Arabidopsis thaliana: one gene and its partners. The protein of the gene in region 4 interacts with the protein of the main gene of each other region in a pairwise test. Each region holds a gene or a part of one and is shown on either strand. Other genes may lie near its edges.

Evidence for each region.
Region 1: the proteins of HHP1 (region 4) and AT4G28330 interact in a protein complementation assay, tested with the Arabidopsis thaliana proteins (one large-scale study listed by BioGRID).
Region 2: the proteins of HHP1 (region 4) and ABCA7 interact in a protein complementation assay, tested with the Arabidopsis thaliana proteins (one large-scale study listed by BioGRID).
Region 3: the proteins of HHP1 (region 4) and AT3G61750 interact in a protein complementation assay, tested with the Arabidopsis thaliana proteins (one large-scale study listed by BioGRID).

The regions. Positions count from the first base shown.
Region 1 is NC_003075.7:14,021,732-14,024,852, reverse strand, and holds AT4G28330 (pyrroline-5-carboxylate reductase), read left to right. Parts: upstream 1-1,547; 5' UTR 1,548-1,924; coding exon 1,925-2,401; 3' UTR 2,402-2,573; downstream 2,574-3,121. Other genes in the region: AT4G28340 (pyrroline-5-carboxylate reductase), read left to right, coding at 1-223.
Region 2 is NC_003074.8:17,622,735-17,629,838, forward strand, and holds ABCA7 (ABC2 homolog 6), read left to right. Parts: upstream 1-1,605; 5' UTR 1,606-1,765; coding exon 1,766-1,837; intron 1,838-2,025; coding exon 2,026-2,392; intron 2,393-2,469; coding exon 2,470-2,549; intron 2,550-2,625; coding exon 2,626-2,770; intron 2,771-3,012; coding exon 3,013-3,132; intron 3,133-3,225; coding exon 3,226-3,350; intron 3,351-3,466; coding exon 3,467-3,625; intron 3,626-3,739; coding exon 3,740-3,902; intron 3,903-3,991; coding exon 3,992-4,117; intron 4,118-4,212; coding exon 4,213-4,296; intron 4,297-4,397; coding exon 4,398-4,744; intron 4,745-4,824; coding exon 4,825-5,025; intron 5,026-5,165; coding exon 5,166-5,275; intron 5,276-5,366; coding exon 5,367-5,451; intron 5,452-5,529; coding exon 5,530-5,658; intron 5,659-5,743; coding exon 5,744-6,238; 3' UTR 6,239-6,551; downstream 6,552-7,104. Other genes in the region: ABCA8 (ABC2 homolog 7), read left to right, coding at 6,850-6,921, 7,010-7,104.
Region 3 is NC_003074.8:22,857,068-22,861,445, forward strand, and holds AT3G61750 (Cytochrome b561/ferric reductase transmembrane with DOMON related domain-containing protein), read right to left. Parts: upstream 2,603-4,378; 5' UTR 2,188-2,602; coding exon 1,981-2,187; exon of another isoform or gene 1,904-1,980; coding exon 1,504-1,903; intron 1,420-1,503; coding exon 830-1,419; 3' UTR 510-829; downstream 1-509. Other genes in the region: DL1B (DYNAMIN-like 1B), read right to left, coding at 3,479-3,607, 3,707-4,075, 4,170-4,378. UniProt on the Arabidopsis thaliana protein: May act as a catecholamine-responsive trans-membrane electron transporter.
Region 4 is NC_003076.8:6,840,297-6,844,939, forward strand, and holds HHP1 (heptahelical transmembrane protein1), read right to left. Parts: upstream 2,651-4,643; 5' UTR 2,361-2,650; coding exon 2,059-2,360; intron 1,978-2,058; coding exon 1,902-1,977; intron 1,350-1,901; coding exon 729-1,349; 3' UTR 537-728; downstream 1-536. UniProt on the Arabidopsis thaliana protein: May act as a negative regulator of abscisic acid (ABA)-mediated osmotic stress signaling and function in cross-talk between cold and osmotic signaling.

The DNA of each region.
Region 1 (3,121 bases), on a different chromosome or scaffold from region 4:
CGCTGTGCCAGCGATCGTTGTGATCTGGATATCGGTAGTGGTGACAATAGCGTTCCCCGTAAAGTCGAGGAAGAAAGTGGTGATTGAAGGAAGGAAAGTGACGAAAGAAATTGCTGGTTATGTGTTTAAGGTTCTTCTTAAAGAAGGAAACTTTGTGGCTCTTCTTTGTGCTGTTATTGCTTACTTTGTCTTCTTTAACTCTTATTACTCTTCATCTTCTTGATTCAGTTTTTGCATTTTGTCATTAACGAAAACATTCATAACTAATATATTGACATCTTATCTTATGGTATATGTTGTAAAATAGTACAACACCCCATGCAAGTTTTGGGTGTTGAGTTCGATTCCCTTCTTTGCATGTTTGCGTCTTCTTTTTTTTAAACTTAACATTGATACCAAAAAAAAAGTGTGTATATATTGAAATCTTTCTTCATTATTTGTCCTTTAGTTTAACAAGATTTGATTTCTTGAATCTGAAAATATCGATCTTCTTTGTTGGATTGATGTGTTCTCTGATGATGTCAAAACGAATGCTTCCACGTCACAATACCGACACGTGAAGTTATTGACATTTCTTTTGTTTATTTCTTTGAGAGAGAACACAGATTCTTCTTTTGGTCGTCTCTCTGTTTGTCGGTCATTCTCTGTCTCTTCCGTGGAAGAGCTTCTGAAACCTCAACTATAATATGGGTTTGAAGGCCCATTTGGGCTTTACTGATTACCATCAATGGCTCATTTTCTGTTTTAGTGAAAACGTTAAATACAGTATCTAACTTATAACTTTCTATCAGCTGAATACTTGATATAAATATATTTAAACTATGTGAGATGCCAAATACTAGAGTACGATGATGATAGCCTAGTAATTGTGAAACAGATATATTGTGAATGTGACGACGAAGAAGAAGAAAAATTGTGTAAGGAGTAAGTGCATGTGATTAGGTATGGTCCAAGCTGAAGTTGGGTAAGTAAAAAAGCTTCATAGGTGATGAGTTGCACCAATTCTTCAGAATACAACATTAATAACAAGTGTAAGAAGGTACTCAATCTAAGTCAATGCATAGTTTTCAAAGTAATAATGATGCATATTTGACAAAAAGATACTCCAATGCTCTTGATCCACAATGAGTAATTGAGTATAATTCTCAAACATCTTTAAGTATTGTTACTTTGAATTGGTTTGCTTTGTCTTCAGATATTATTGAATGACATTGGTTGGTAGTTCAAAAGAATAATTGGTCTGCTTGAATGTTTCCCCTTTAGATATACTATATAATAATAAAATTATAATGGTCCAAAATTAGCAGTTATAGCTTATAGGCAGCTTTTATCTCTCTTTTTTCTTTCCTTAACACTAGTAAATTGGATCGCAAGATCTTAGATTGCTAATAACCAACTTTACACTTTGCATTATACAAAATTAACTATTTCCAAAATACCCAAAAAAACTTGATACATTGTTCCTTACATAATAAATTGACTTTTTGGGTGTTAACTTTTAAGAAAAACAGTGTAAGTATTACACAAATTAATCACTAATCACTTTGGTTTATGAAACGGTTAGTTTGGGAGGTGAGCCAAAAGTGAAACTAGAAAAAATGGAAACAGAGCTCTCCAACTGTCAGTTTGCAGGAAAAGGCAAAGACTTTAACTGGACCGCTAATAAAAGAGGCACGTGACAAACACAGCCTAATCAGCAAGAGCGTGTACTTCACGTTACATCAGATTCGACTAGGCTTAAGTATAAACTAAAAAGAACGTACGATCACTTTCCTTTTCTCACAATTCTTCACCGCAAACACTCACCCCAAAAAAGGAATCAGAAGAAGAAAGAAGCTTGTACAAAAGAAGGCTCTTTTACTATATACCATAACTTCACCAAACCAGACACAGAATCATAAGATCAGATCTGGTGTTCTCAAATATGGCGGATAAGGAAGAACCAGAGACGATGACCTCGTACAAGTTGTTTTTGAGAGTTATAAGCAAGAGAAGAACATGGGCCTGTCTGTTTCTTGTAGTCTACGCGATCCTATTGTCTTCTTCATGGAATTCGTTGAATTCAATAGTTAATTGGTACGGAGAGAATCATCAGACATCATCTGGTTTGCCTGCGATTTACGCGTCGGTGCTTCTTGGTGCGGTGTTCGGAGTTTTATCTATGGCGGCGGCGCTGTTCATAGCCGTGCCTGCGATCGTGGTGATCTGGATATCAGTGGTGGTGACGATGGCGTTCGCCGGAAAATCTAGGAAGAGAGTGGTGATTGAAGGAAGGAAAGTGACGAAAGAGATCGCTGGTTTTGTGTTTAGGGTTCTTCTTAAAGAAGGAAACTTTGTGGCTCTTCTTTGTGCTCTTCTTGCTTACTTCGTCTTCTTTAACTCTTACTCTTCATCTTCTTGATTCGTTTTTTTGAATTCTTGTCATTAACGAAAACATTCACAGCTAGTATATTGAAATCTTTCCTCATTATTATTTGTACTTTAGTTTAACAAGATTTGATTTCTTGAATCTGAAAATATCGATCTTCTTTGTTGGATTGATGTGTTTTCTGATGATGTCAGAGAGAATGCTTCCACGTCACAATACCGACACGTGAAGTAATTTACATTACTTTTGTTTATTTATTTGAGAGAACACAGATTCTTCTTTTGGTCTCTTTGTTTGTCGGTCATTCTCTGTCTCTGTCCATGGAAGAGCTTCTGAAACCTGAACTATAATATGGGTTAGAAGGCCCATTGGGGCTTACGGGTTACCATTAATGGCCCATTTTATCGTATATAGTGGAGAACTGTTTTAGTGACAACGTATTAAATACAGTATCTACTAGGCCAGACGATAAATTGTGTTTGAAGGAGGAAGTGCATGTGATTAGGTATGGTCCAAGCTGAAGTTGGTTAGTAAAAAGCTTAAAAGATGATAAGTTGCACCAATTTTTCATAATGTAGCAATAATAACAAGTGTAAGAAGATGCTCAATCCAAGTCAATGCATAGTTCATACGATAATTCTTTTTTTGATAAAAGTTCATACGATAATTCAAAGATATAATTATGAATATTTGACAAAATATGTACATACATTCAATGCTCTGGATCCTTCATGAGTAAATCGATCCTCAATG
Region 2 (7,104 bases), on a different chromosome or scaffold from region 4:
TATTTTGCTTGTTCATGTTTGATAAATTGATAATGCAGAGGTTTGATTCATGTACATTGTTGGCTCTTCGCCTGCAAGTTTGCGAATTAGTCTGAGGTCTTGTATTAGTTTGTTTGTGGATGATGCATGTAACCACAATTTTTTTATTTAAACGTGGCTATATTTAATTGTGGATAAACCACTGAATATGAAATTTTATTTCATCTACCATTCAGATCCTAAATGTATATCTTACCATTTAATTCATATAGGGTTTACGATTTAAAATTTAGAATTTCGAAAATAGTATCTATATTAAAAGATAGTAATTAGGTCTTTTTTTCATTGAATTTTACTTAAACATTGGTAAAATTTCATATGCCATCGAAAAAAGAAAATATCACTGAAAACTATGTTAGCTGCCGGAGACAACATTTCTAAAAAGAAAGACAATTTTTAAAAAAGACTACAAAATACTCTGTTGTTCCTTTTTGTTTGATTGTTTAGAAAAAAAATTTGTTTTTAAGAAATTAATTTTTTAAGTTTTCCATGCAATATTTATTGGTTAATATTGGTGAATTGTAATTTTCAAGAAAAATAGTTAGTTATCATTGGTTTAGAGTTATAAAAAATTGTAAAACACTAAAAATAATACATTTATAATCAAAATTTAATATGTTTTCTTAATATATGTGTTTTTCTAAACAATATAAAAAAAGGAACAGAGGGAGTATAAATCAAAACTGTTAAACCAAATTTTTTACCAATTAAATCTTAATTATATCAATTGGTTCTTCTCCGAAATAAGAAATTGTCTTGATGTCTATGAAAATCACAAATTTCACTAAAAATTTATGGAGGATTCCTAATTAACTTTAGACCAGGAATTTTTCAAAAAATAAATTTAAAGATGACATTATCATGAACACATTCAAACTGAAATCAAACCAAAGTAAATTTATTTTCCCTGTAATGGACCATAGAGTATAAAGTATTTAAAACTGCTACTTATTAAATCAAAGACTTTTGTGTTTTTTATTGTGTGCAAAGACTTTTTATGTTTGAAAACTGAAATAAGACTGCTAGTAAAAATATAAACTGAAATAAGAATTTTTCTTAGGACATCATAACATTTTTGCTTCTTGTCCAAGTAACTGCCACATTGGAAAAAAATGTTTAGATTTGAACAAATCTTTTTAAAATGGTCAAAAAATTATCATAGTCAACCAAATTACCCGACACTTTTACGTGAGACATTAAAATAGACTAGTTTAATCGATTATGTTCACACGTGATTACGTCTGAGATGACGTATGAATCATCTTTATACAAATACAAATATACAGTAAACAAATAATTGAAACTCACCTCTTCCACTAGTCGAAGAATCTATTGGTCGTGGCATCACTCTCCTTCGCAGCTTCCTACCAAATTTACATTGAAAATATTCTCCATTGTCACTTTCTCGATTTCGTAAAATTACCTTTTTGTTATTTGACCAAAAGAATAACCCCAAAAAAACAATACTAATATATTCGAGAAAAATAACTAATTAAAGGTATACTTAACGAGAAATTAAAGCGTGTGCACAAGGGTATTACTGTAATTTCACATTCCGTATCTGATCTCTGTTCTTCTTTCCTCCGCCTGCTATAAACCAAAAGGCGGTGACTCGATTTGTTCCTTCTAAGTTCAAAAATTGGGTTTCCATTAGGATTCAATTTTTACTAACCCTAAAAAACAGAATCTAATACACAGAGAAAAGCGAAGGTTGTTACCTTCATCAATGGCGGATCCTGGTCCTGCCAGTTTCTCAACGAGAGCCAATGCCTTGCTTAGGAAAAACTTAACCTATCAGGTACTTTTTCCGTTTTCTTTTCCTCTACGCAATCCAATTATACACATACAAATTTTCGTTTAATGTGAGTAAGATTCTGTTCTGGGATTTTCGTTTAATAGATCAGTTTCCACAACAAAATTAGTGGCTGATTTATTGAGTAGATTCTGTTCTAATTATGTCTTTGTGTAAATTGTGTGTTGGTGTAGAAACGGAATCTATGGAGCAATATACGGCTAATCATGATCCCATTCTACCTCTGTATACTTCTAGTGATTATACAAATCCTGTTCGATACACAAGTTAACAACTCTGCTGATAATCGTTGTGGTTGTGAATGCATCGAAAGAAATAGAGCTGGAAAATGCCAAAGAGAGCTTTGCGGTTTAGAACATTCTAAACCGGATCAAGCCTTCTTTTGTTCTATCCCTCGTCCTCCACTATGGCCTCCTTTGTTACAAATCCCGCGTCCTGAGAGTCGCGATGTTAGAGGTCTTCGTGATGATTCTTGCAGAAGAACAGGATCTTGTCCTGTTACTATACTCTTTACTGGAAATAACCGTTCCCTTGGAACAAGTATGTCTCTTTTCCTTCTTTTTTATGTTTCTGTTCTTGTGTACCTACACTGGAACTTATCTTCATGTTTTCTTTAGCTGTATCTGAGAATCTGTTCACTAGTTCTGTGTCGGCGAACGCCTCTGAGATTTTGCGTACTTTAGCCAACAATGTTTTGGTAAGTTTTTTTGGTTGGTTTCTGTTTGTTTCCATTATGAAATGTGTTTCTTAGCTTTCTTGACCTCATGTTTCAGGGTACAACAGTTGAGGCAGATTTCACCAATTATCTTGATCCAGGGATTGCCTCAAATCTTTCCATCTACAATATCCAACCTCGGTGCATTCTAAATGCTACGTTTCCGTTCTCATTCGAACAACCACCTCTCAAGTTTGAGAAAGGTATTGAGTTTTTAATCCCATTGATGTTTAAGATGTCAACTAAAAAAGTTTAAGAGGGATACTAGATGTTATATATGCTTATATCAGTGTTAGCTTAATGAAATCTGGTTGCTTTCTCTGTTTTCGTATCCCGATCTTGTTGAACATGATATATCTTTCTGCAATATATTGTCCTCACTCATAGTTATCTTTCATGGAAACATCGTTGTAGTTGATTAACTTAATGTTTGTGACAAAACCAGAGTTGAGATGTGTTCAAGGATCAAATCTTTGGACAAATACCTCCAAAGAGGTCAATGATAAGATTTTCAAGGGTTATAAGAAAGGAAACCCCGAGGGAAAGATAAATGAGATCGCTGCAGGTTCGTCAACTTCTCAGTTGGGTTATCTATAATAATCTTTAATAAGCTCATGAGATTTCTGACTCTTCATGTCTGATTTTGTTGTTGGTTTAGCATATGATCTCTTGAACACTGATAGGAACAATTTTAATGTGCACATCTGGTATAATTCAACGTACAAGGACGATGCAGGAAATAGACTTATAAAGTTGATCCGTGTTCCCCGCTCAGTCAATTTGGTAAGAAAACAACAATTTACTCAAGACATCCTTCATCATTGTATTCTCACTTTGCTCTTTACCATGTAGCACCACTTTCTTTATTGAACCGATGCTTACACTTTACCAAACTGCAGGTGTCAAATGCTTACCTTCAATTTCTACAAGGACCGGGGACAAGGATGTTGTTTGAATATGTCAAAGAAATGCCTAAACCAGAAACAAGTCTTCGTCTGGACATTGCGTCTCTAATTGGCCCCCTTTTCTTCACCTGGGTTATTCTTCTTCTGTTCCCTGTAAGTTTGCCTTCAATAATACTCACCCTCATGGATAAATCTTGGAAACAACAAGAATTCTGCTTTCTCCAAGCGTAAGATACGAAATTCATATCTAGAGCCATTTGTATGCAGGTGATCTTGTCGTCATTAGTGTATGAGAAACAGCAACATCTAAGAATTATAATGAAAATGCATGGCCTAGGAGATGGTCCTTATTGGATGATTTCCTACGCCTATTTCCTTACCATATCCGTGTTATACGTTATATGCCTGATGATATTCGGGTCAGCAATAGGTAATTGAAGCCTTTCGGTTAATACATTTCTTACAATACATTATGTTTTTTTGTCAATATGAGTCTTTAATGTTGTTGGTTCCCTGCAGGACTGAAGTTCTTTCGGCTTAATTCCTACAGCATCCAGTTCGTATTCTATTTTCTCTATTTAAATCTGCAAATCGCCCTTGCCTTTCTAGTTTCTTCAGTATTTTCAAAAGTCAAGACATCAACAGGTACTAAGAACATCGTGCTTCTTGAATTTAATCAAGAACATGCTACTGGGGTTTAAAGGAACTAATGAGCTTTTCTCTATATGTCTTAATCATAGTTGCTTCTTACATATACGTGTTTGGATCTGGACTTTTGGGTTTGTTTCTACTCAACTTTCTGATTGAAGATTCATCATTCCCTAGTAAGTTATTATGATTAATTAACTTCAAGAAAGATATTTAATACACTCTGTTATGTGTTTTCACAACTGACCACGATTGCAAATGAATTATAATTTTCCAGGAGGCTGGATTATTGTCATGGAGTTATATCCTGGCTTCTCCTTATACCGTGGCCTGTATGAGTTGGCGCAATTTGCTTTCCGGGGAAACTTGAGAGGGGAAGATGGGATGAAGTGGAAAGATTTTGGTGATAGTGCAATGGATGATGTTTTTTACATCATTGTCGTTGAATGGTTTCTTGCACTCATTGCAGCATACTATATCGATAAGATATCTTCATCCGGAAGAAACCCGTTGTTCTTCTTGCAAAACCCTTTCAAGAAATCTCCTTCTTTGAGAAGACCTAGTTTGCAGAGGCAAGGCTCCAAAGTCTCAGTTGATATGGAAAAACCAGATGTTACTCACGAGGTATGTCCAAAGACTTTACAATATATTTCATGTTTTTCATAATATATACTGGTTCTGATAACAAAAAATGTTCCAATCAGAGTAAAAAAGTCGAGCGGTTGATGCTTGAGTCGAGCACAAGCCATGCGATTGTATGTGACAACCTGAAGAAGGTGTATCCTGGTAGAGATGGGAACCCGCCTAAATTGGCAGTTCGTGGGTTATCTCTTGCAGTGCCTTCAGGAGAATGCTTCGGCATGTTAGGTCCCAATGGTGCTGGAAAGACTTCCTTCATCAATATGGTCAGTCAAATGGACAAAATATTTTGTGCACATTAGACCTTAGCTTCCAATATCATTGCTGATCGAGAAACTCTATCTAGTGTATGCCCAAACGAATTGTGCGTCAGCCTTAGTAATATGTCCTTTGTTTTCTTTGTCAGATGACTGGGCTCCTGAAACCGACATCTGGGACAGCACTTGTTCAAGGTTTGGATATATGCAATGATATGGACAGAGTGTACACCAGCATGGGCGTATGCCCGCAGCATGAGTAATTAAATTCTTGAAATTCATTTCATTTTGTTCTTCACTATAGATGATATAGTTGTTTAATCATTCTCTTATTGTCTGTCGTATACCAGTTTGCTATGGGAAACACTGACAGGAAGGGAACATCTGCTGTTTTATGGGAGACTTAAGAATCTCAAAGGCGCTGATCTCAACCAAGTATGTTATCAATCTCGCTCACCTTCTATATTACTTCCATTGCTCAATCTATTTCTCATCGTTACTTATCTGCATCAGGCTGTGGAAGAGTCTCTTAAGAGTGTCAACCTTTTCCATGGAGGAGTTGCGGACAAGCCTGCTGGGAAATATAGCGGAGGTATGAAAAGACGGCTGAGCGTAGCCATTTCACTTATCGGGAATCCTAAGGTACAACACTAAGCCTTTAAAAATAGTAAACCAAAAGGGATAAGCTCTTTCAAGCTTACCAGACTCGTCCTCATTTCCTTTGAAGGTGGTTTATATGGATGAGCCAAGTACAGGACTTGATCCAGCTTCGAGAAAGAACCTATGGACTGTCATCAAGCGTGCAAAACAAAACACCGCGATAATCCTCACAACCCACTCAATGGAAGAAGCAGAATTTCTATGTGACCGATTGGGTATTTTTGTGGACGGAGGCTTGCAATGCATTGGCAACCCAAAAGAGCTGAAGGGAAGGTACGGTGGATCTTATGTGTTTACGATGACAACATCTTCAGAACACGAGCAAAACGTGGAGAAGCTAATTAAAGATGTCTCCCCAAACGCCAAGAAGATATATCACATCGCAGGGACTCAGAAGTTTGAGCTTCCAAAAGAAGAGGTTCGGATCTCAGAGGTGTTCCAGGCTGTGGAGAAGGCGAAGAGCAACTTTACCGTTTTCGCTTGGGGACTCGCCGACACAACTCTTGAAGATGTCTTCATCAAGGTTGTGAGAAACGGTCAGGCCTTTAATGTCTTCTCTTGATCTTCTTAGATTCATACGTCCATATTTTGTCCAATGTCAATATTTGCTTATTATGTCAAATTGCTACCACATGATACGAAATTAGTGTTTATAAGATTTCATGTATATTACTGGAAATATGTTACAAGTTCCTGATTTTTCAATGAGATTATACTTGAAACAATTACTAGCGCTCCTGAAGCAAAGAGGCGACACTTCAACACTAGGAGATGTTTTTCAATGTCATAACCATTTGTTCTACTCTGTTTCGGAGTTCATGTATCGGCTATTAAAGTTGGTTGGTAGCAATAAACCCATATTTTCGACATTGTCGTAATAATGAAAATAAAAAACCATATCTATCTTATTATATTCATATTTGTGTAGGTTTTGGTAGAGAGTTCATTTCTTAGGTGAGTGATGCAAATGAATACTATTACTTGACCTACACGAAATATCATACAAAAAATCACAGTGCTATTGTCCAATACCTGTATGCCACTTCAGTAACGTGTATAGTTAAACTGTTATCTCTTAATTCTTGTTATTTTTAGTGTGCACATCTAAAAAACAACATTTAGAGACTTCTTAAAAACTATTCAACTCCATCAAACCTTCTCATATTCTCTGCGATGGCGGATTCTAGTCCTGCAAGTTTCTTGACTCAAGCCGACGCTTTACTGAGGAAGAATTTAGTTTTCCAGGTTTCAATACACTTTTAATATCTAAAACGGCTAAGACAGAGTAAAAAGTTTACAATGAGGTTTTGTTTCCTTTTGTTCTTTGATGCAGAAACGGAACATATGGAGCAACATACGACTCATCACAATCCCTTTCTTTCTCTGTTTACTTCTCCTTGTTATTCAAATGCTCTTCGACACTCAATT
Region 3 (4,378 bases), on a different chromosome or scaffold from region 4:
AAAAACGAAAATAAAAAAAACGAATATGCTGACGTGGCGGTTGAATGGAACAGTGTTTGGCTCCAGGGATTGGGGACGAGGGAAGACTGCGAATTTTCAGGCGTACGAGAGCGCCAAGTCGAAATCTTCCTTTTCATCAAATCTGACGTGGCGCATCAATAAATAACTCTCTCGTTTTTCTTCTTGTCACACAACTTATTTAGAAAAATCGAAGCTTGTTGGGCTACATATTGGGCCTACGATGTTTCTCGTGGAACATTTTGACAATTAATAAAAGAAACAACTTCGAGTTAGGCCCAATATGAACACTGTATGTTTCTCATGCAACAACATTTTGACATTACCAGACAATGGAGGAAGATGATCCTTTTTTCATTTCAAATAAGACTCAAAACTTATCATCCAATTATACGTTCATGATTTATATGAAAGATGAGAGATTGCATTTGCATACAAAAGGACCATATTTTTGTTAATCGCTCCATAATGTTAGCCTTAGGGTCTAGGGACGTCTATGCACATTTACAAACTCATAAGGAATTAAAGAATTACGTATATTTCACTTTCCAGGAACAACAACCTTCAAAACTCAACTTACATGACAACAAATTGAGATCCAAAAAGAAACAAACCTTAAAAAAACAAATATCACCATGTTGCTCTAAAGTCTAAACCAAGACCGATTTCCACTTGAAAATCATATTGCCGAACCAAAAAAAAAAAAAAAAAATTACAACACATATGGACTATAAAATCAGTGACCAATGATTATGGGGAAAACAAAAAAAGTACCTTTATGTACAAGAAAAAAAAAACAGAAGATCTTGAATCAAACACTAGTACTAGAACTTGGATGTGTCTCAAAAGAGGGAGGGCTGCGAGAAGATGGTGAGCCGATAGTGCCACGAATCCTGAATATTTCAAGAACAACAAAAGCAAGTAACGTGACTGACAGAACAAATCCATATCCAATTTTCCATCCATCTCCTCCATTATCCGCCATTCGAATTCCAAGAACAATGTTCACTGCTCCAAAAAAGAGAGAGATCCTCCCAATCCAATGATGATACCAATTCCAATATCTCCTCATCTTTGTCTCCTTCTGTGGCCGTGCAAAGAAAGCCAAAACCTGAAGAGTGCTAAGGACTAGAAGAAAGATCCCAATGCCTCGATGCGCAGGTATATCCGGCTGGATCCTATTGTAAAGCTGAATCCCAAGAATAACTGCGGCTAAACCGAAGATAAAGCCCGTGAACTGAAAACCGATATGAAGATAGTACCAAAGAGGGTCTTTATGTCTTAGATATCTTGCTAGGATTGCCCCTACAGGAAGTAAGAAACCCCATCCGAGTATCGCCATTACTCCATGTTTTGTCTTCTCCGTAGAAGTTGTCGTCTTTATGGAGGTTGCTCCACTAGCTGCATTGACCAAGAACATACAACTATTGAACTCTCCCCTGTTTTTAACATGTATAGATTAGACTAGTATATACATTATATTACCTTTGGAAAAATCGACGATGACTGTAGTTTTATCATCATGCTTAGTCAAACGGCCTAGCTTGGAAGGATAAGCAGTGCTAAACGCTAGAATGACAGCTCTCCGAGGAACTCTAACGGCGAATTTCACCTGGAAAGCTAAGTAAATCATTGCTCCGTGAAGAGCCACCACCGGCGGGACTTTTTGTAGTTGCAATTCTCCTTGATCCGGCACAACTTGGTCTCTCTCCGTTCCTTGGAGATAGTATTGTTTGATTTTGGCGTGACCCTTTTTCGAAATCCATCCGATCATCGCGCTTGATCCAACCATTCTTCCTTCTTTCGAGAATCCAATCCCAACCCACCCGGTTGTGTATAAAGCCGATACTATAATCGTCATCACATTGTCTCTGTTTTCTGAGTACTGCAAAACAGAGCAAGCAGCGTTGAAAATCAAAATTATGGGTTTTAGGAAAAGTTGGTTTATGTTTTTCGGTTTACCCGTAAGACGAACGTGTTCCAAAGAGGAGTACAGGGCATGTTATCGGAGATATTGCTGTACGGTGGAGGGAGGAAATCGGATAATCGGTTTGCAAAACAGAGATTCTGGGTCGAATCGTTTATGACATTGACGTCATCTGCAGCTAAGAAAGGCAGATCTTGTCCGATTAAGAAACAGAGGATGTAAAATCCGACCAAAGTTTTCATGGTTGGAATCGAAACAGAGACGAGAAGGAGCGAGGAACAATGGAAGCTTTTTGGGTGATGGTTACTTGAAGAAGAAGAAGAGTGATTGAGTTTGGTGGTGAAAGTGGTTGGAGATGGAGATCAATCATAATCATCAAATTGTTTTAAATCAGCTCCGGTTGGATTTTGAGAAAGATACTTGGAGTTGATGTTTCACTGGTTAAGTATCGGACAATTTATGTCCCCTCTGTCACTAAATCGACACGTGAACCGACAGAAAAATACCAAGATGCTATGAAATTATTGCTTTTTCTTTGCCAGTTAAAACAATTGGCAATTGCTATTTGAGGTTGAGAAATTACGAATAGATTTTTAAGATATGGACAATCTGGAGTTTTTTACTTTGCTTATTTAGGGAAAAAAAGAAGAAGAAGACAGAGATGGGAGCGAGAGAGTGGGGTCGTAAACTGGACCATAGTGGGAAGTGGATCAGTCTTAGTCTGAATCATTACTCATTAGGTATATTTGGTCAGGATAGTGCCACGATCAACATCATCTTTTCTTTTCTTGGAGGAGATATTGGAAGGGAACTTGGAAACAAAGTAAACAATAATAAATTAACCAATGAGTACAGCTTTACAGCTTCCATGAGTACCAATCACACAAACAAACAATTTCATTTGTTCGTTGTAAAACACAAACTCAAATGAGAAAAAAGGTATTGTGTTGCAATTGCAAAATGGTAATGTAAAACAATTTAAACAGTATTACTATTACGCATGGCGGGATCGGTATCAGTCAACGACTAAGCGTTTTATGTAATCGATATCATAATTCAAAATTATTCAACTTTAACATAATAAAAGGGATTAACATAATAAGTTAGCCAATATGGGGATGTAGCTCATATGGTAGAGCGCTCGCTTCGCATGCGAGAGGCACGGGGTTCGATTCCCCGCATCTCCAATTTTGTTGATTTTTTTAATTTTAGTTTGCTCTTCTTCTTCTGTTTGCTCTTCTTCTTCTGTTTGCTTGCTCCTTTTGTTCTCTCTTTCCGGTGGTTTAAAACAGAGAGGAGATCACGTCATATGTTTCTTCAGTCCATGAAATCTATTTATTTTTTGAAAAATAATTTGGTCAACCATATTCTACTGCGCCAACCATCGTCTTACAAAAACTTTTATTCAGAAACAATGATAACTCGAACACCGAATACAATGACAAATGGAAAAAAAAAAGAGACAAAAAAATGTAGAAGGAAACGTATCCTAAAGAAACAAAAAATGGAGTGTGAAGAGAGGGTCTCGTCTCTCTACTTGGACCAAGCAACTGCTTCAATATCCGTTTGAGCACTTCTATACAATTCCAGCCTCTTCGCAATCGAAGTCCTTCGCTGCTGAACCGCAGGATCCTCATCCAACAATTTCGACAATTTGCTCATCTATAATTTTTAACACCAAACCATTTTAACATTCTTACTCGTATCTTATACAATTGTCAATTTGCTCATATAGGTTTTTTAGTATATCTTTATTGTTACCTCTTTCTGGCCAAGTTCGGTGAAGAAGATGTCTAGAAGGCTTCGTTTTGCTTCACGGACTTGACAGTAAACAATGGATTTCGGTATGGAGTTTCTCAAGCCAGCGCAGACCATGTTCACATATGACAACACATTTGAGCCGATTCTTCGGAGATAAGCATCGTTGTATCTGTCGAATATCGAATGTGTCGGATTCCCACCTTTTTCAGAATCTTGCGGGAGTTTCCTGAAGAACTCGACCGTTAAGTAACCAGACTCCATGTCCACTAGTAACAGAGTTGCTTTCCTGCTTTCGTCTCTCATTCGATCCAATGAATCCACGGCTGCACCTGATACTTCTACTCTGAGTGTTGGATATTGCTTCAGTTCCTGTAGTCATGATGAAAACACATAATCATGCTTCAAAACTCATAAGTGTTATTGTTGTTGTTGGGTTTATGACTTTGAGCAGAGATATTCTTACAGATGTTTCGCCCATGGATTTGTGGATAAGATCCTTGAGAATGGAATGAACCGCATCAACAGCTGCTTCAGCAGGGCCTCTAATGGAGACTAAGCATGATTCTATGAGCCGGCGATAACCTTGTTCAGGAGCTATGAGATGAGGTTGATATCCATCTGCTTCAGTGATCAGTTTCCGTACATTGTCCATGGAGAGATGTTTGTCGAATT
Region 4 (4,643 bases):
TCCGAAATTCGAAAAGAGTTTGGGTCCGTTCACGCATTATCGATCAAGAGTCTAGTTACAGAGTGAAGCTTGGTCTTTAATTATGTTTATGTCTGATCAATCCTTGTCTTGCATCTAATTAACACCTGTATAACCTAGTAACACATATATTTATATCAAATCAAAAAGAACAAAAAAACTTTGAAGCAATAATAAGAGGACTCGGCTATGAAGAATGAAAAAGGAAGCGGAGACTTTGATGAACATTTGATGGTGCATATATACATATTAATTCTCTTGTGGTTAGGGAATCCTGACACTAAGCTAAGTGCGCATGTAGATAGATGAAAGAACCATCAACCATGCATGAAGTCCATCCTTTGCATCATTGGTTTTTTTTTTTTTTTATAAAACAAATCATTGGTTGTTTCAACCGTCAATTTTTGCTTTTGTGTTTACATCAATTTTTTTTTATGTCTTTTCAATTCTGTTTGCTTTCATGATATAAAGCAAACAAACAATTGAAGTCATCATATTCAAAAACGAAACTATTCAGTGGCAAATATTTGATTTACCATTAACTTCTCATAGAGAAAAAGACTTCTGAAAATCATGCATATTCAACAAACATAACAATTAACACAAGTTGAATTACAATTCAATTTAAAACAAATGGGTTATTACAATTTTGTTCACCACGATACAACAAATTAATAATATTATATTTAAAAGAATTACAAATATATGGTTTAACAACCAACGTGGTCACGCCAGTCCAAGAACAAGAGAGCAGCTGCATAGTGAGACAAAGCACCCAACAAAACGAACACATGGAAGATCTGATGACTATGTCCCACACGATCAAACCATCCCGGTTTAAGCCTTTCTGGCACTCTCCCTACGTAGAATCCTGTTCCAACAAGATAGAACACTGCCATAAGCAACTCGTACACGAGCGTCACGTTCCTTTGCGGGTTTCCCCAATTGACCACTAGCGCGTGGGCAGCTGGGACAATCCCAAACAGCCCCATGGAGGCAAAGAGCAAAGCGCGGAAAGCTCGGTACTTGGGAGCGGAAAGTGATGGGGTGAAAAGTGTGATGATTGTGAAGATTCCCATGGATGTGATGCCTGCGAGGTAGATGAAGTACCACCGAGGAGTGCACTGGAAGATGTAGAAGATTGGTGGGAAGAAGGAAGTGATGATCATGGCGGTGATACCGGCATAGTCTATTCGGAGAAGGAAGACATTAAGCTCTTTTGAGTGGCAACAGAAGAGGTGACAAATGCTGCTTGCGAGTAGGCAGAACATTGAGCCTCCTAAGAAAACGAAGAAGGGCCATCTTGTTACATTCCCTGGACTCTTTGCATCCTACAATCATCAACATTGATACCACCATTAGCTTTACATTTTTATTGACTAGTTTGAGATACTAAAAAAACATATACTAGATATATGATCAAATAACATATTTGAGTTGATTTCTAATCTAGTTAAGAAATACATTTTCTTCAGTTGTTTAGATATGTGATTAAATAATAGATTTGAGCTGATATATAATCCTTAAAAGAATTACATTTTATTGAGTTGTTTAGAATATACTACAGAAAACAAATTATAGTCAATGTAATATTGTCAAAGATTTTATTCATCATTTCGATTCATGTCTATATATCTTTGATATCTTATTCAAAATCATCATAACAAAATCCAGGTATAGCAACGAACAATTCATTAGAAAATTAAGATAAGTTAATCAAAACCAATTAGGTATATATCTAATTACTTGACACATTCACTTGACTAATTTGAAGTTAATATAGTGGTTGCATGTGGATCTCGAGGGAATAAATTGAAATTCGGGCTAAACTTGCGATTATTAAACAAAAACAAAAATAAACGTGTTGATTAAAGGACACTTACCACGGGGAAGAATCCGTCGTGATGAATAATATTGGCGACGGTTAGTGCCACAAAGAAGATAAAACCAATCAAATGTCTGTCCAAAAAAAAAAAACTATTAGAAAAAAAAATCGAAGAAAAAATAATTGAAACTAGAAGTAAAATTTGGTGTACTTACGTCCAAACATTGAGGGACTCATTGTGGAAACTAAATACGCTGAAGAAAGCATCTCTAATGGACCAATCAGCTCTGTAATAATTCAATATGTATTCGTTGTCTTTCATGTACTCCGGTAGCTCACAATACGACATTAATTCACGTCGTTTCATTGTCTTTTGTTGCGTTTTTCTCTTCTTCCTTCTCTTGGTACCACTACTCTCATCTCCACCGTGATCATCTCCAGGCACGATCTTGCTTTTGCAGTTGCCGTTGCCGCATGAAACTGTTTCTGCTTCGTCGTTATGACCATTTTGGTCCATAAGAGCTCTCGAGTATCGATTCTTGAGACAAGAATACTCAATCTTGATCTCAAGAGAAGATGGTGAGAGAGAAGATCTGAGAGGAGAGGAAAATATATAATGAAGAAAGATTATTATTATTATTATAGTTGAAGTAACAAGTATTAAAATGTGAATTTAAGTTTGAGGGGAGAGAGAGAGAGAGAAGAAACAAGGAAGATGTGAAATGTAAGGAGACAGCTGCAACATTTAAAGACGAAACTTTAGTATGCAGGTAGAAGTTGGTGTCGTGTTTTCATCTTTTAGTTGTTAGTTAGGTTATCAATAAATTCTTCTTTTTTGATTATTATTATTTCATTTCCCTTTCTCTTACGTTTGTTTTTATTGTATTTTTTTTTAACAAGAAAAGTGATTCAGTTTTACACTACTTTTTGAGATATGGAAAATCTTTTGAATACGAGAAGAGTAAATTTAGGCGATTTTAAGACCGACCGACTCAAAATTCACTACCGGCTTGTACCTCTTTTACATGATTGATGCCTTGTACCCACCGGATCGTTTGTATTTATAAGAAAGATATAAGATATGTGATGCAAACAAAATAGTACTCTTGATGTAAAAATAAAAAATAAGGACTCATTTAGACTTTTACTATGCTTCAATCAACATTAAATTCTGTGTGAAATTAAGATTGGTGAGGGGTTTACTTTACTTGAAATAGACGAGTAATTTTAGAAAATTTGCATTTTTGAGTTCTTATGTGTAATTCTAAGTAATTTTTTTAACAGAAGAAGTTAGGATAACAACAGAATTTAATGTAGTTATGAGTTATGAAGTGATTGTGGTAAAGAAGTGTCAAAGCTCTTTCCATCAAGTGGATGACAACAAAAATAATGATACTAAAAACAAGCATGCAAACATTTCAAGGATTCCTTTTTTTAAAAGAGTAGACCACAAAAGCCAAAATCATGAAAATTTCTATTTTTTTCTTGTGAAATGTTGCAAAAAACATTAGTGTCATTTTCAATGAGTTACCACTTGAAAAGGACTTGACCTTTAAATGCCTCTAGCAATATAGAACTTCAAGTTAATTAATTAGGCAGATGACTAAACTTTAGAACAAATTTATAATTTATTTGGAAATCAACTAAAAAAGGATGTTAAAAATTAGACGAAAATATCTTCATACAAGGAATTATAAACGTTTTGTTGGCAAAAAAAAAGGGAATTATAAACGTTTGTGACATGCATTCATGTAATACATGTTATTATGCTGTTATTATGAAGGAGTTAGTGAGTAAAGATCTTGACGCCACTACAAGGTTTGTACTTCGGTATGTGTTTCAAAACACGATACATTCTATATGGAGAGAAAGAAATGAGAGGAGATATGGACAGACGCCATCGAGGACGAAGAAGATAATCAGGCTGATAGACAAAAACATAAGGAATGGATTAAGCACGTTGAGGGTAAGATGTGAAGAGAAGTACGCAAGAGGAATCCAAGTGTGGTTTACTTTTAGGCAAGAACAAAATCAAAGATAAATAAGATATACTTTTGATCTATTTTTAAGAAAAGTTTGCATTTCTGTATATAAACAGTTTATTTTTCTTTGAATATAATTTAACACTAAATTCAAAAAAAAAAATATGTTGTTATTATGTAGATAGTAATTAACATCTCGGCGTCCCATAGCCATACCTTTATTTTTTCTCTTACAAAATTCAGTTTTGTTATCTAAAATTAAAGCTGATAAAATGGCCATAGTTGTAGCTTTCTGGTCTTTCAAGATTTGGGTTGGCTTAGGCTTTTTGGGAAAACATTAACCAAAGAGGTCACTCCTGAAACACCCCCAAGGAATCGCAATCATATACGCAAACTCCATATACGTGTGTTTAAGTTTCTTGGGAAAATAGTTTATTACTAATTCATAACTTAAGATTTTGTTAAATATGGTTGAAGAAGAAAATGACTTTATCTTCTCGACATCTTTTGTAATCTTTACTTTTGGATATAACTGCCATGTGTTTGCAATCTATTTAGCCTTAATTATATATTTTGTCGCCTAGGCCTAATTAAAATCAAAAGGAATGGTTTTATTTATATGAATGTTGTTCTGTTAATTAAAATACCGGGAATATCCTCTTTTTCTTTTTATTATTACAATACTTTGCATAAATGAAGTAAAATCCGGTAGGTGTCAAAGAGACAACCATATGAAGAGTTAGGTATTTCCGGCAGCTTATGTACGACGAAGTAATAAAACAAACCAAACCATGTGGTCAATATGAAAAAGATAGTTC